2 linked regions of the Oryzias latipes genome follow. The protein of the gene in region 1 purifies or fractionates together with the protein of each later gene. This does not show direct contact. Links are inferred from orthologs where the notes say so. Each region holds a gene or a part of one and is shown in the gene's direction. Other genes may lie near its edges.

Region 1 (3,752 bases):
ACTCCGAGACGTGGTCCAGACTGGGCTGCAGAGGTTTTATTTACACTGGCTTCTGGACTCTTGCTGAGGGAGAACCTCAAGAGGACTCATACCTCTGCTGCAAAGCTTCTGTGGAGCATGGCGCCCCCTTCTGGGTGTCTTCGATAGGAACAGTGTTTGTAGTGTCAGAGGAACCGCCGTCCGACCCGGCTTGGACGGGTCTTACAGTGTCTGTTAGCCAGTGACCGTTTCTCATTGTGAAATTATGTATTTTGGCTGACCCCCCCCCCCTGCGGTTTTTACACAGGTGTGATCACAGGTGAAGATCTGGTGAGTTTGAATCTTGAGGGGCGGGTTCAGGTCCGATGATGGAGCCTCCTCTCTGACTGCATGGAGGCGCAGTTTTTGGCTCCAGATGAGCCCAGATCCATTTCAGCCCCCCCATCAGGCCACAGACAGGTGGGAGACACATGGGGGGGGGGGGGGGGTCGTGATCCCCATGTCCGGTCCATTGAAAAGTCAGCAGAACTTAGATGTGTCCAAACCTTTTTCACTCAACAGCACCAGATTTTTGTAAAGGTGATCAAGACACCTCCTTAGTGCAGGTAAGAAGGTCCGAACAGGGCCCCCCATACCACTTAACCTGACCCCCACCCACACACCACTTGACCCCCCCCCATTTGTAAATAAAATACTTGAAGCCCACCTGATCTCAGAGTGGTTTCTTCTCATTGGTACGGAGTCCCTCAGTTGGTTCTGGTTCTGAGTGTTGAATCTTCAAATCAGACTCCACTCTGGAACTTTGAAGCTAATGGGGGCGGAGGGGGGTTGTTACGACCCCCCCGACCCAGATCAAGGTCAGTCCTGGTTCCGGTTCTGTTTCTAACCTTCAAAAACGTACATCAGGACAGAGTTTATTATTTGAGTTCTGACCTGCACGTGCTCCTATGTTCCGGTGGTCCGATTCCCATCAGATCAGTTTGATTCTCCGCTCTACAGCAGCCCCGCCCCTGAACGTCAGCAACTACCCACTGCGCATGCTCACTATCTCGCCATGTTCGGTTCGGTCCTCCGGAGCGCTGCAGCCGTCAGCAGGTGACCGTCCGACCTTCCGGTTCGGATCCTGGTTGAGACAGACCGGGTGTCACGCGGCCCCCACCCGCAGGCGCCGCACTGGAGCCCCCCCCCCCAGCCGCAACGGTGACATGACAGCCGCGGCGCGCCGTTTGCTCCGCTGACCCCCCCCTCCGCGCCCAGTAACCGACGCAGAGACCCCCTCCCTCCCGCCGCCGGCGAGCCTGTGCTGGGAGCGCGCAGCCCGGGAGCGCGCAGCAAGCCATGCCCTCCGCCCGGTCCAGCTAGCTCCTAGCCGCGGAGCTAACGGTTAGCCGAGGATGGTGGCGGCGGTCCCGGCGGATCCCGGACGTCGTGAGGCCCCCGGCTTCAGCCGCGCAGCTGGACCCGCAAAGCCGCGCACAGAATTCACGCCAAACGGAGCCGCGTGCGTGTGAGCATGCAGACGGGCCAGCTGCAGTTCGATTTCTGCAGCGAGGACAACGCTCCGCGGTGGAGAGGCCTGCTGGTGCCCTCCCTGGAGAAGGTAGGTGCGCACGCACGCACGCACGCACGTAGGCGGCTGCTGCAGCCAGGTGTGGCCCTGCAGGTAAGCCGGGCCGTTCCGTGACAGGACGGCTGACGTCAGATGGGGGCAGCGGGGTCTGCCTGCTCCCCGGAGGCTACAGGTTCTGGACTCTTCCAGCTCACCTGGACCACTTCAGTCCCGATCCGACCTGAACCACTTCAGTCCCGATCGGACCTGGACCACTTCAGTCCCGATCCGACCTGGACCACTTCAGTCCCGATCCGACCTGGACCACTTCAGTCCCGATCCGACCTGGACCACTTCAGTCCCGATCCGACCTGGACCACTTCAGTCCCGATCCGACCTGGACTGATGTGGTTCTCTTGTGATTTAGAAGATCAACACTCTGCAAATCTGTTCCTCACTGTCCCAGAGTTCTTTGTTGGACCTCCAAAGTTGTGGGTTGGACCGGGTAGAAGCGCTCCAGGTGGCTGACCTCTGACCCTCTGGATCCATGTTTCATAAGTTCTGCTCACCATCAGAACCTCTGACCGCTGTCATCAGGCCCGCGTCCTGAGAGATCCATTTAATGATGGCAGAGTCCAGCTGGTAGGCAGAAACTACAACAGGAACTCAAAGAATGATGACAGGTTTCTGACCCACAACACGGTCTACCACCATGTGGACCTGGTTTGTAACGCTCATGGTTTCTGTGTTGGTTCTGGTTCTACTGCCAGCGGTGCATCAGGTGGAAATGTGGGAGGTTGGATGGACTGAGGTCTCCTGGGTTCAGATGATGTTCTATTGGGTCAGGACAGATGTTTGGACTCCTGCATGTATTAATTTAATGGGATTTAAAACCCAAAAGGTTAAATTATGATTAAACGACTTTAAAACTGGACTAAAATAACTGTTTGTGATCATCAGCTGTGGTTCTGGACGGGAACATTTCCAGAGAAGGTCTTCTTAGCTGCATGAAAGGAGCAGCAGGTCTGGTCTTTACCTGGTTCCTGTGGGACCAGCATGCAGACCTGAACCCGGTGTAGAGTCTGACCGTCGCCCATAAGTGGGTTTCGGCCTGTTGGTGAACATAAATTAAAAAAAAGAAACACAGAAGAAGCTAAAACCAACAGAAACTCAGAGAGAAAGGTGTCTTTCTGTCCTCCTCCACTGGGGGGCAGCACATATCCATGAGGCCTGTGTTTCTGCTTGTTCTGATCAAACCTGCTCTGTCATTTCGTTTTGTTTAATTATTGATCAAACGTTGTGTGTGTGGCTGCACGCTGCAGGTACTGAACCAGGTACACCCCAACCTGAAGTCCCAGCAGGAGGCGCTGCAGTACATCGAAGAGCTGATCCTGCTGCTGCTCAGCATGTTGTGTCAGGCCCAGCCTCGCACAGTGCAGGACGTGGAGGTGACGCACACGTGCACACATGCACAGATACACGCATGCACACATACACAGATACACACATGCACAGAAATACATGTGCACACAAACACACGTGCACACCTGCACCCATCCACACGTGCACACGTTTGCCGTGGCCACATGCATGTTCCACCAACAAGCCCTTGAAATCTCCACCAATGATTCAGACCTACAGGCTTAGGGATGCTGAAACCTGGAAACAAACCCTCTTACCTTTAGTCACCTAAGTGAGGTCAAGCCTGCAGGTCAGGTCACTTGGTCCTCACACCTTCTGTCGGTTGTCTTAGGAGAGGGTCCAGAAGAGTTTTCCTTATCCTATCGACAAGTGGGCGATTGCAGATGCTCAGGCGGCCATCGAGAAAAGGAAGAGAAGGAACCCTCTGTCTCTGCCGGTTGATAAGATCCATCCCCTGCTGAAGGTAACCGTCCTGTCAGTGTTTTCTCCATCCTCCGCTCTTGTCCATGTTTATCAGTAACTCTGACTCTCAGACAGAATCGTCTTCAGGAAGAAGCTTTGCTGTTGGCTTCCACAGAGTAGAAAGTTTGGGGAAGCGGGCCGCGGTTTGGAGCACTGAAAAGATCTCAGGACTTTTGCATCTCTCTGTCTCCCATCATGCATTGTGTTCAGGAGGTTCTGGGCTATAAGATTGAGCACCAGGTGTCCGTGTACATGGTAGCTGTGTTGGAGTACATCTCTGCTGACATCCTAAAACTTGCAGGAAACTATGTAAGAAATATCCGCCACTATGACATCACCA
Region 2 (3,652 bases), on another chromosome or scaffold:
TGTGTATATATGCACGTGTGTGTGTTTGTGTGCGTGTGTGTGATGACGTGTGTGTTTGTGTATGAGTGACTTTTTTTCCTGCGACTTTGGGTTCTCTTTCCTGCTCTCGGTCTTGCAGGCGTCTATCTCTCTCTCACAGCAGCAGACATGCTTGGTCTGTGGTTGCTATGGAAACAAAGTTTAGCGTGAAGTGGGAATAGAACAGGGAGTCCTGGGAAAAGTAATCACCCATGGCTGGTCGGTGCCCCGGGTTCCCCCCGGCTCTCCTTTTGTTTGGTTCTAATGGGATGGTGGACAGGAAGCTCAAGGCGCACAGACACGGGCCCAGATTCTGGGGGTCAGAACTTTTGTTCTTATCCTAGAGCTCAACACCCCTGCAGATCTGTGGGGAAAGCTGTGTGCTCGGGGGGGGGGGGGGGGGGGGGGGGGGGGGGGGGTTAGCTGCTGGATCAATCGGGTTCAACCATCAGTTGACCTGCTTTTGCTGTTGAAAGTCACTGATTTACCCATAATTCCTTTCTGTATTGCAGCCTAAAAACCTGCTTCAGAGTTCAGACAGAACATAACTGATCCCATGACACTGCCACCACCGTGCCGAGCTCACATTCAGGACCAAACTAAGAACCAAAGTCCAAACAGTCGGTCGTTTTCTGATGAAACCCGTTTGTGTTTCCTGTCTTTGATCGTTCTCTGCCGACAGATCAGCTGATTCACAGGTTGTAATCAGATTACTGCAGCTGCTTGTCTCTGCTGCAGTGGATCCTGCAGGATGAACGGATACGAAGCTGCAGCTGCGTCTTCGGGCGGCTTCTCCTCCTCCAGCGCACACGTCAAGTGAGTCCGGCTGATCCTCCGGGTCACGAACAGAACCAACCACGACTGTTCTGCGGGTCACAGAGAGAGAGCGGTTCTGAGCAGACGGAGGTCCAACATGATCTGTTTGTTTTGCAGCGGCCATGACGGCCCGTCTCCTGAAGCCCGCAGGAGCAAAGCCAAGCCCGGTCCCAAAGTTCTGTACGGTGAGTCTCTGCTGTTGGACCTGGAACGTGGTCCTGGTTCTGGGTCAGCTCCAGTTTTATCTTCCTGGTGGACCTGCAGACCTTCTCTGTGTTTCTGTCTGACGAGGTCACTCCTGTAGTCCCGCTGCTGGTGTGGCTCCGGCCCGTTTGTGACAGTGGGTCAGAACTTTGGTGTCTGCTGTCATTGGTCTGCAGGATCAGAGGAAATGTACTTCCTGCGCTCGTCGTCCAAACACAAAAAGAAAACTCAAAGTAGGACAACTGTGCACGCGTGTGTGTGCACGTGTGTGTTTGCACGCGTGTGTGTGCACGTGAGATGTTGTCTTCTGCTTTAACTTTATTTAAAATAGTTTTTTTCACTGTTTCAACAGTAAAACTTTATTGAAACGTGAACGTTCACAGACCAGAACCTGATCCTTGAGGGTTCTGCACGTGTGCTTGGCGCTGGTCCGTTATCTGCTGCAGCTGAAGCCGCTTTGCTCCTGCTGATAACAGCAGCGGAGGATGTCCGGTTCTTCTGCAGCGCCTGAAGGCAGCAGATACTTCAGCGGCGGGGATTGATGGACGCCACGCCGCTTTGTCTTTGCGTTTCCTGCGTTCAACGGGGCTGAAGAAGCTGATGGATCCTTTAGAACCTGACAGGTTCTGAATCTCAGGGTCCAGCTGCTTCTAAAAGCATAACAAACACAGAACGCCCATAAATCAGTACAAGTGTTGAAACAACGTTCACACGTTTCTCTTCTCCCAGAATCCTTTTGGTCTGCGGACTTTCCCTCTGACTCTGGTCTTTGGACGGTTCTGCTGCATGTGGTCTGGTTTGTGGACATCTTTGTGACAAAACAGACAGAACATTTGATGTACTTAACCCTTCAGACGGCAGATAACCTGCAGGAAAATCCACACCCACCAGATCAAAGAAGCTGTGGTCCTTGAAGGCATCATCATAACTGTGGTGTTTGTCCGTCATCTCGCTGTAGAACAGATGCAAACATCCAGACCTCTGAGGTTCTTCAGACCTCCAGCAGAAGCCCTGTTTGTGTTTTGGGTTCTGGAGCAGGTTCTGTCTGCGTGTGCCGTTGACCTTAAGGGTGTCCAAATGGACTTTGAGAAGGCGGAGGGTCTCGGTTAACCGCTCCGCTTCTTTGCCAGAACCCAGAAAACGCTACACCAGAACCAGCATCAACAGCCTGACGGACACGTCGCGGTACCAGGTGGAGGTGAGTCCCGCCCTGCCCAGCAGCAGAACCTCTAGCTGCGGGGGCTCTAACCTCCGTTCTGGTCCCGTCCAGCACCTGATGACATTCGTTCTGGACCGGAAGGACGGGATGATCTCGGTGGACGACGGCGTCAGGCGGCTGCGGCTGCTGGACGCCAAAGGGAAGGTGTGGACTCAGGAGATGCTGCTGCAGGTGGAGGAGAGGGGGGTCAGCCTGATGGACCTGGAGACTCAGGTGAGGCTTTTCTGAACCCCCCCTAGAAGAAACGGTGCTGTCAGGGGAGCAGCATTGAGGGTCTTATAAAGGTTTCTTGGTTTTTTCAGGAAAAAGAAGAAAATGAGTTTTTCAAAGCAGCTTAAATGTAAAGTCGTGTAAAAACCTGGTGACCTTTGACCTTTTGTTTGCTGTTTCTTGTGCTGACTGACTTCCAAACAAAGTTAATTATAATGTTGGTACGTTTTATAAAAATGAATAAATGCTTTCAGGTTTCTTACTAATTTTCTAAAATGTCAAAGTAGCTTCAGTGAGGAAAACCCTGCAGTTCCTCAAATGAGCACTAGAGGGCAGAAAGGAGATTCGTCCCGTTCGCTCCCCTCTAAACACATCTACAGGTGATATCAGGTGTTTCTTTTCTTTATAATCATTTAGGAAATCGGAGCAGGGTTGGGTGACGGGGGGTTCCATGTTTTCATTTTGATAGACCTTAGTTACAGATTTCCTTTTGATTGGCAGGTGGGCGGAGCCTTGGGGGAAAGTCTTACTGAATTTTGTTCCTCCTCTCCTGTTTTAGGAAAGTTGTAGATGTGGGCGGAGTAAACTCCGGTCAGTGTGCTCCTCCCACTTCAGATTTATTTTGACTATCCGTGTCTTCATGTTCCGGTCAGATTACGTCAAACGCAGTTGAACGTTTAAAATGTAAAACGCGATCATTTGTCGGATCTTGTCACATTTTCAGGGGAAATCCTCGGAGAACACAGGTGAGTTTCTTTTCACGTAGATGGAAGGTTGTGTGGCAGAAATGGGCGTGGCCAGCTGTTTCACCACTCTAGAAAAGGCGGGGCTAATGTTGATACAGCAGTGCCCCCTACAGCCGACCCACTGTAAGTACAGCTCTGTAAAGACCTTCTGGATTTAAGGAAGCCAGTAAAGTGTAGAGGAACGTTTGCATGCAGACGTAGAGCAGAGAACAGGTGGATCCTCTCTGAGATCAGGCCTGAAGGGAGTTGGTCAGGTGACCTGGAGTTTCTACGCCCCCTGAACAAACATCCAAACGGCCGCTGACTCACAGCTCCACCCAGCTCCACCCAGCTGCCAATAAAGACACACCCCAGGTTATGTGCAGACAGGTTCTCATAAAGTTCAAATGACGGATTTCAAAATAAAAGCACACTCTCTCCTTCAGTTGTGGTTGAAATG

The links.
Region 2: the proteins of sos1 (region 1) and eps8 purify together in Homo sapiens (affinity purification with western blotting; 5 studies listed by BioGRID and IntAct, with this or other methods). This does not show direct contact. The link is inferred for Oryzias latipes from reciprocal best matches to the Homo sapiens genes SOS1 and EPS8.

The regions. Positions count from the first base shown.
Region 1 is NC_019859.2:117,361-121,112, reverse strand, and holds the start of sos1 (son of sevenless homolog 1), read left to right. Parts: upstream 1-1,037; 5' UTR 1,038-1,492; coding exon 1,493-1,579; intron 1,580-2,850; coding exon 2,851-2,976; intron 2,977-3,281; coding exon 3,282-3,413; intron 3,414-3,622; coding exon 3,623-3,752.
Region 2 is NC_019881.2:23,585,221-23,588,872, reverse strand, and holds part of eps8 (epidermal growth factor receptor kinase substrate 8), read left to right. Parts: intron 1-700; exon of another isoform or gene 701-756; coding exon 757-834; intron 835-951; coding exon 952-1,019; intron 1,020-1,214; coding exon 1,215-1,271; intron 1,272-2,168; coding exon 2,169-2,236; intron 2,237-2,308; coding exon 2,309-2,470; intron 2,471-2,495; exon of another isoform or gene 2,496-3,652. UniProt on the Homo sapiens protein: Signaling adapter that controls various cellular protrusions by regulating actin cytoskeleton dynamics and architecture. Depending on its association with other signal transducers, can regulate different processes.